Nothobranchius furzeri: one gene and its partner. The protein of the gene in region 1 binds, or shares a complex with, the protein of each later gene. Links are inferred from orthologs where the notes say so. Each region holds a gene or a part of one and is shown in the gene's direction. Other genes may lie near its edges. The genes, in order: wwc1 and lats1.

Region 1 (4,434 bases):
TCAGAACCTTTGAAGCCTGACCATTCTAAAGCCTTCCACTAGAGGGCGACATGGTTCTTAAAAGGTTGTGCCAACCAGGAGAAGCGGAAGTTCTGCAAATCATCCTTTGGAAAACAAGCCGACCATCCAGAAAAGTGTTCAAGACTGCATTTTACATCTGCAACTTTGAAAAAAGAAACACAAAATCTGTCAAACATTTAGTCTGACCTTTTTTCCAATTTACGCATTTATCTATCAACATGTCCCAAAGCTGTAACACGTCATTGGTTATCTGTTTAGTGTTTATTTCAGATCTCCTCCTGTGGGTGTGCACCTCACTTTTGCCCAACTTTTGTTGTGATTTTGCAACTTTATCATATTGTTTTAATTGGCCCAGTGATTATGCAGATATTTATTTTTGATATGTATGTATGCAATCAATTGAAATGGTGATGTACAAACTCAAATTGAGCTGTGATCAAATTAATTAATTTATTTAATACAAAATCGTATCTCTAATTTAGTTCTTTCTGGGGTTTTTTTTTTACTGGGCTAATTATGGGAGGTTTGTGATCATTTAAAATCAATTTTGTATATTTTTTTCATGTCATATGCTATGTTTTGTAGTATGTTGTTGTCAGATATGTGAGATTTAACCTATTTTAAATATTCAGTGTTTTGAGTTATTTTATATTTCTATGTCCATTTCATGAAACTCTTGCATAAACATTTCGGACCGGAAGTTGTATTGTTTCAGACTGGATTTGTCAACATTGGTTTTATTTTGAAACAGGAAGTGGAAGTGAGTGGATGCGCACGCAGGCTGCTTGACGCACACGGCGGCTGACCGAAGTGATCGGGTCTGAAGAAACGACTTTGCCGCCGTGCACCTTCCTTCCTGTCCGCTTCGAACCGGGACTTTAACGGGATTCTCCGGAGTTTGTTTTGGTTTGACGGGATTTGAAACGCTTTGGGTGACCTCGTTACTGTTTGTGGACAGAAGAGCGGCTCGGGGGGTTCGCTATCCCGCGGCTGGCGGCTAAAATCGGTTACTGCTGCTGAACATGGTGGCCTGCTGGAGGTAAAGCGGAGGAGACGAGCTCCGTCGGGAGTTTTGGAGGAATTTCTGGGCCGTTCGGAACCGTTCCTGTTGTGAAACGGCGATGCTCCGGTCCTGGCGCCTATCTCTTGTTCGTGTTTGGGGATAAAACTGCGGTTTGTTTCCGTTAAAACCGAGCAGCGGTGTCCGTGTTCTGTGGACCGTGGCTAATTCTTGTTAACCTAAAAGTTGTCACCAGGACCCCTACAAGTTTCTTTAAACGACCTGGAAAGTTTTGGAGCACCATGAGAGGCACAGCGGACAGTGTTGAGGGGTTGTCTTCCCCGTTTTTGTGTTTCTAGCTCGGATGCTGATGAACTGCAGCCTCCTGGAAGTTCTCCATCCCCCTGAAGCGGCTCCAATTTCCCCTGCCTGCTTCGGGGCTGCCTCGGTATTAATCTGTGGACTGTTTCGGATTATTACGATGGCCTAATCCAGCCCGCACAGCGTTAGGTGGAAATAACTGCTGATTCCGCTGCTGATGATGACAGAGAAGAGCGATGGTCTCCCTTCGTTGTGTTTCCACGTAGAGAGGAGATAGGTACATGGAGACTCGCCTGACATGCCGAGGAAGGAGTTGCCACTACCGGACGGTTGGGAGGAAGCCAGAGACTTTGATGGCAAAGTTTACTACATTGATCACATTAACCACTGCACGAGCTGGATCGACCCCCGGGACAGGTAAGGAATGTGAGAGACAGGTGTATCGACCTTTGACCCCTGACAGGTGTCAGGCGTTAAAGAGACAGCTCAGCTGTTTAACAAAGCCTTTATGGAGAAATGTTATGAACAAATCCGTATACCTGATAGCCATGTGAGCAACCTTAGTTTGGAGAAATGTAGATTAGTTTTGTCTAGATTGATGAGCTAACGGCTAGTTTAAGTGGAGGCCAGTTGCCAAGTGTTTCCAGATATTTCGTTGCCATGTGTAACGTTTTGACCCTTCCTTGAACTTCACATGACATTGTTATTTACAGCAGAAGTTGGCTGCAGCGTACATTATTCCTGGCTGGCGTTTCATAATAATTCTCACCATGGAGTCAGTTTACAGGTTAAAAAATAGCACTCGTTTAAATGTCTAAAACCTTTGAAATTGGGAACGAGCCCCCGCATCGTGAGAACAAACATCTCAGCTCTAAAGCCGATCTTAATCCGCGTACGTCACACGTCACGTGATCAGGAAGCAGAAAATCCATGTTTTAGGAGATCGTGTTGGGCCGCTGCTGTAAAAAACAAAGTGAGGCACGAACTGGAAAAGCTTCTGCCGATCGCAATTCAACAACGGATTATGAAGGAATGGATAAAGCTCGAAACGCACTGATGCTTCCTGATGTAAGAGGTGAGTGTACCCTTTGTCTTGGTAGTTTTGGCGTCGACATTATCATCAAAGAGTGCAATGTTCTGTGACTTCAAAAAAGGCAGTAAAAATGCTGGCAGTGAATGAGTTAATAACCTCACCACATAAACATACTAAGATCTAAACTATCCCCTTAATAAACAAACACACAAAAGATAAATAAACTTATTTAACAGCACATGGTGTCGTAAATTACTCGTACTTATTCATGTTTCTACTCTAATTGTTTACTTCCCCCCAGACTTTCCAAAGGTTTTTTGCTGTTCTTTAAACAGTTACGTGCTGTTTCATTCAGTTGGCCAGCAAACGGGCCCCATAGCTCAAGGGATGAGCCTGGTGTCTTGATGCCCAACAGATGATCGAACATTGAATTGGTTTAAAGTTGGATCTGCCTGTAGTCGGATTCAGTAGGTTCCCATTTCTGTAGTTGAATCTGTTAAAAACACAGATTAGAGAGTTTGAGGCTGTGAGCTGAAACGTTAGCGCTAATCCTAACCATCCATCCGTTTCAGCTACGGCTCAAAGGCCGGGCTCTTCTTTACCTTTCGTTTGTGCAGGTTTTCCATGCTGAGGTCGGATTTTGGTTGTGATCTCCATGCATCCATCCCAGCATGAGCAGAGGAGTGATGTACTTGTGTTGCTCTTTTTAAAATTCCTTCGGTGTGATCGGCTTAAAATTCCTATGATAAGAAGAACTTCCTCATGATATCATGTGGGAAAGATGGGGCGGATTTTCATCTTTCCATCTTTACCAGTTACGCAAGACTCTCCGGACTTTGACACCTAATCCATTTAATGCTTCACGTCTGGAATTCTTGAGCACATATTTTTCTCTGTGGCTTATTTATTCCGCCTTTGTGTGTGAGTGGATTAGTGCGTCGTCAACATGCAGCCAGAAACTGTTTATTCTCTTTTCTTTTCTGGGTTTCATTGTACTTTGAGTCACAGATAGTAGTATTTAATTTGATGAAACTGCGAGTCACCTCCTCCAACGACTCGTGTGTTTCGTTTGTCTGCAGAATTCCAGAAGAAGTTCTCCGGAAGACAAAAAGTTTAAAATAAATAAAACTTCCTGATACAAAAATCCACCCATCATGTTACAGTTTCATGTTTTCTCAGCGACTTCATATTTTTGTGTTCTATTAATAGAACTCTGTCTCAAAATTTAAAGAGCAAGTCACTAGGGCTGCAACAAACGATTATTTGGATAATCGATTAATCGGATGGGGTCTCGACACGATTAATCGATTAATCGGATTACATGGGGAAATTTTTAAAAACTGCTAGGGAAACGTTATTTCTCTCCTTCCTTCACTTTATTTAACACAACATTATTAGAAAACAGTTCAATAGCAGAAAAACAACATGCCATCACCTAAATTGTCTTATAAGGTGTATAGACAGAGACCCTAAGCTACATCTATCTGTGACCTAAAATGCTTGGTCCAATTAAACAGCTTAAGGGCAATTCTCATCTGTTTTGTTTGATCTCATCTGTAGACATTTATTATAACTGGGGATGTCAAACAACTAATTTTTAAATGTAATTAAACATAGGCTGTGAATTAATCAAAATTGATCACTATTTCCAAAAATGACTGAAAAAAGAAGTTGTCCCACACTCCATGGAAACTTTCAGAGAATCCACAAATAGTGGCTTTCAAATGGTTTTGTTACTTTCTGCAAGTTTAGAAAAGAAGCAGATGAGACAGCATGTCTGATAATTTAGTTTTTCATCTGATAATATTAGAACATGTCAGTAATGTCTGAGGGGCTTTTATAAACACTGTATAACTAACTACTGGAGAGGGTATGAATTACACAGAGGCTTCTGGGGAGCCCAGTGGGGGGGGGGGGGGGGGTCATTTTGCCTTGGCCCCCAAAATGTCTTGAAACGGCCCTGGGTGTGTGACTGAGTGTTGAAGGTGACCTGAATAGTATCAAATTTATAAATATTACATGTGTGTAACTTATTGTTTTATAGGTAAAAACGTGTAGT
Region 2 (4,473 bases), on another chromosome or scaffold:
TCCTCACATGGCAGATGGGATGGTGTACCGCCCCGACAGCCCCGGGCCACCTCCTGTCTACCCACCACTCCGCGGTGTCGCGGCTTCTAATTCTCCCTGGGACAACAACCCATCAACCAAGCGCTGGTCTGGGAATGTGGAGTACTTTGTTCCACGAATCTCTCCAGTTCCCCAAGGAGCTCGGCCTGATGGGTACCCAAATCCACCTCCTCAGAATCAACGCGGGGCCAACCCAGGGCCCGTAGTTCACCAGCCTATCATAATGCAAAGTTCAGGGAATAAATTCACTTCTCCTTCCACTCGGACTCAGAATGGCTCCGCTCAACAGGACTACATACCAGGGAGCAGTAGACAACCCCCTCCTCCATACCCAGTCAACCAGAGCAGCCGACACAGTCCCACCGAGCAGCCGGCATCCTCTCCTTCGTACGTCAACGGTGGAAACATCCCTCCTCCCATGCTGGTGTCTAACTGGAGCAACAGCAACCAGGACCTGTCCCCGTCATGGCAGCAGAACGTGCCAGTCCGCTCAAACTCATTTAACAACCACCAGCTCAACGGCAGACCTGCTCATCAAGCCAGCTCCCAGCCCTCTGCCACTACGGTCACGGCCATCACTCAGGCTCCCATCCTGCAGCCGGTGTCGAGCACGCAAGTCCAGAAACCAGAGCTACACACTGCCGTCGCTCCCACACATCCTCCATGGAAGCAGCACCTTTCAGCATCTCCAGCTGCGCCTGCTTACCCAGAACCTTCACCTCAGGTCCCTCAGATCCCCACAGCACTAGAGGCACCAAACTATATAGGCCCTCCTCCACCGTACCCTAAACACCTCCTACAGCAGCCGGCTGCACCCTCGCCCCCTGCGTACGACGCTGCAGCCAATAAGCTTGTTGCGGGTAGAGAGGAGAGTCCTGAGGAGGAGAGGAGCTGCAGCAGCGGCAGCAGTGGAGACGCCTCCAGGGAGAAGGTGTCAGAAAGTCTTGAAAGCACCACGGCAGCGGAGAAGGAGAGGAAACAAATCACAACATCACCTGTTCCTGTTCGCCGTAACAACAAGAAAGATGAGGAGCGCAGAGGGGAGTCTGGGAGAGTCAATCTGTATTCCCCCCAAGCCTTCAAGTTCTTTATGGAGCAACACATGGAGAACATCCTGAAGAACCATCAGCAGAGGATTCGGAGGAGGAAGCAGCTGGAGTGTGAAATGGACAGGGTGAGACCATCTATGAAAAGAAACTGTCCTTTTCTCTTTTTGACCTGGTTTCCCCGTCTTATCTTGGTAAATCTCCGATCTTTTCCACACTTTTAAGTTTTTCTTAGCTGTTCTTTCTCTTCCTTTCTCTCCTTGCTGTCACAAGCAGCTGACCTAGGAGGTTAAAGTATCTTTTCCTGTGCTGTGACTCAGAAAAGCCCAAACACACATCAGTTACACAAGTAAGGTGTCAAGTGTCTCATATCTGTATTTTCTCCTGCATCGAGTGAAAGCATGAGAAGAGTGGCATGCCATCCCGCAGCCGCCTCCGTGCACTGCACGCACATTTTTGTTTTGGGGTAAATTGATCATTAACACTTCAGGAAAGATAGATTTCACTTCGTTTTGTGGTGGTGTCACTCGTTTCCATTCATTACTAACGTCTCATTTTAACATGGATTGCATGAAAGCTGCATTTATTTATTTTTATGGTCCCCATCCTCAGGTGGGTTTGTCGTACGAAGCCCAGAAGCAGATGCGTATGATGCTCTACCAGAAGGAGTCCAACTACATCCGTCAAATGCGCGCCAAAATGGATAAGTCCATGTTCAAGCGGATCAAAACCCTCGGCATCGGAGCATTCGGCGAGGTGTGCTTGGCGAGAAAAGAGGACACGGGGTCGCTGTACGCCATGAAGACGCTTCGCAAAAAGGACGTGCTGCTGAGGAACCAGGTGGCCCACGTCAAAGCCGAGCGGGACATCCTGGCCGAGGCCGACAACGAGTGGGTGGTGCGTCTCTACTACTCCTTCCAAGACAAGGAGAACTTGTATTTTGTCATGGAGTATATCCCCGGGGGGGACATGATGAGCCTCCTCATCCGGCTCGGCATCTTTAAAGAAGAGCTGGCCCAGTTCTACATCGCAGAGCTCACTTGTGCGGTGGAGAGTGTCCACAAGATGGGCTTCATCCACAGAGACATCAAGCCGGACAACATTCTGATAGACAGAGACGGACACATAAAGCTGACCGACTTTGGTCTGTGCACAGGCTTCCGCTGGACCCACGACTCCAAGTATTACCAGAGCGGTGGGTGCTAAAGCTCAGTGTCTTGTTAGGTGTTTTTCTGTCGCTACGTCAAGCTTTTAGAATGAAAACTGTAAAACAATGGTAATGTTAACATTTATCCTGTCAAATTCACATACAAACAGATGAAAAAAGATTTTACAATAGAAAATCTTCCTTTTTGTTTTCAGATATCTTGCCGTTTGTGTCTCTCAGGTCAGGTTGAGCCTAAAAAGTAGAAGCCGGGAGGCTGTTGACATGTTTTGGATTCGTGCAATTCAACATTTCTGTTTATCAATGTACAGCGCAATAATATAAATCCAAATTACATCAACAAAAGCACATTTTAAATCAGTATTGCATCATTTAGCAACAAGGAATTATCAAATAAAGATGTCTAAGTCTTAAATTATGTGTCTGTTTATCTCTGCAGGAGATCATGAGAGACAGGACAGCATGGACTTCAGTAAGGAGTGGGAGGATCAAGCTAACTGCCGCTGTTCAGAGCGTCTGAAGCCTCTGGAGAGGAGGAAGGCCCGGCAGCACCAGCGCTGTTTGGCCCACTCACTGGTGGGAACGCCCAACTACATCGCACCAGAAGTTCTGCTCCGAACAGGTAAAGTTTTCCTTTAAAAATGTTCAGTTATGTTATTTTTGCTTCAAATCTTTGCTCTAATAATCCACATCATGGTAAATAACAGCTTTATTCTGTTTTTCAAAATAAAAGCTGAGAAACTAAATATTGACATCTTGATGAAAAAGAAAATCAATTCCAAACGTCTTTTAGTGATGTCATTTCCTGTATAACTGTAGGATACACTCAGCTCTGTGATTGGTGGAGCGTTGGGGTCATCCTGTACGAGATGGTTGTTGGACAACCTCCCTTCTTGGCGAGCACACCCCTGGAGACGCAGCTGAAGGTATGAGAGGCACCTGCTGTGAAATGTTCTGCAGCCACGGAGTTCCTTAAAGCCGCGTCTCTTTCGTTGAAACCAGGTGATAAACTGGAAGAGCACGCTGCACATCCCCCCTCAAGCCAAGCTCACCCCAGAGGCGTCGGATCTCATCGTTAAACTCTGCCGCGACCCAGAGGATCGCCTTGGTAAGAACGGCGCAGATGAAATCAAAGCTCATCCATTCTTCAAAAGAATCGACTTCTCCAGCGACCTGAGACAGCAGGTGGCACCCTACGTCCCCACCATCGCTCATTCCACAGACACCTCCAACTTTGACCCAGTGGACCCTGAAAAGCTGCGGAGCAGCAATGGCGAGGGCAACCACAACGACACGCTGAGCTGTTGGTTCCGCAAAGGAAAGCACCCCGAGCACGCCTTCTACGAGTTTACCTTCCGGCGCTTCTTTGACGACAACGGCCACCCTTACAGCTGCCCCAAACCCATCGAGTACGAGGGCTATGACGAGGACGAGGCGGACATGGAGAGCGCGGAGCTCGAGGCCGGGAAACAAGGCCGGGATCTGGTCTACGTGTAGATCCTGAAACCCACTAAGCTGCTTGTACATAGAAAGTGTGTGTGTGTGTGTGTGTGTGTGTGTGTGTGTGTGTGTGTGTGTGTGTGTGTGTGTGTGTGTGTGTGTGTGTGTGTGTGTGTGTGTGTGTGTGTGCGTGCGTGAGAGTGAGAGTGAGAGAGAGAGGAGGGGTTTGCAATGATAAAGCATTTAAAACATAGGAGTGTGTGGTTATAGGAGCACTCAGAACGCTGCAGCACGAGATCACAGTTAAAAATGAAACACCTGATCTCCAACTATGAAACTGACCTGGAGTCAGTTATCTCTGCAGAGCATGAAGACTGAAATCTGCTGACTTGTGAAAGATGATTATAAGAAATGACGAGAGAAACCTGAAACGCACCAAATCTGGTTTTTTTTTTGGGGGGGGGGGGGGGGGTTAACATGTATAAGGAAATATCAAAGTGTCACATTTGAGAAGGTGGAACCACAGATTATGGATTTTCAGACTCTAATCAGGAAAACCGCTAGTAAATAAACATCTAATATTCCTGATTTCTCACTGGAAACCATGATTTTTCTCCATCTACCTGCTAGACAGATCTACTGAAAGGGATGATATGGCCGATTATAAACATGTTTCTGTGTAAAAGCTTCATGAACAGCCTCTGTTCAGACATAAGTTCACAGCTACTCCACAGAACCAAGCTTAAAGTGTAATACCGCCGTGAAACAATTCTAATTTCCTAA

Evidence for each region.
Region 2: the proteins of wwc1 (region 1) and lats1 are in contact, whole or in part, in a crystal structure (PDB 6J68), measured with the Mus musculus proteins. The link is inferred for Nothobranchius furzeri from reciprocal best matches to the Homo sapiens genes WWC1 and LATS1. Residues at the interface, in NP_740749.1 of Mus musculus: Asp17, Tyr23, Ile25, Asp26, His27, Arg30, Thr31, Thr32, Ser33, Trp34, Asp64, Val67, Tyr70, Ile72, Asp73, His74, Lys77, Thr78, Thr79, Gln80, Ile81; in NP_034820.1 of Mus musculus: Ala546, Glu547, Ala548, Pro549, Ser550, Tyr551, Gly553, Pro554, Pro555, Pro556, Pro557, Tyr558, Leu562, Leu563.

Annotation. Positions count from the first base shown.
Region 1 is NC_091750.1:71,292,888-71,297,321, forward strand, and holds the start of wwc1 (protein KIBRA), read left to right. Parts: upstream 1-1,418; 5' UTR 1,419-1,640; coding exon 1,641-1,759; intron 1,760-4,434. UniProt on the Homo sapiens protein: Regulator of the Hippo signaling pathway, also known as the Salvador-Warts-Hippo (SWH) pathway.
Region 2 is NC_091742.1:11,406,697-11,411,169, reverse strand, and holds the end of lats1 (serine/threonine-protein kinase LATS1), read left to right. Parts: coding exon 1-1,213; intron 1,214-1,697; coding exon 1,698-2,280; intron 2,281-2,689; coding exon 2,690-2,872; intron 2,873-3,069; coding exon 3,070-3,176; intron 3,177-3,252; coding exon 3,253-3,747; 3' UTR 3,748-3,897; downstream 3,898-4,473. UniProt on the Homo sapiens protein: Negative regulator of YAP1 in the Hippo signaling pathway that plays a pivotal role in organ size control and tumor suppression by restricting proliferation and promoting apoptosis.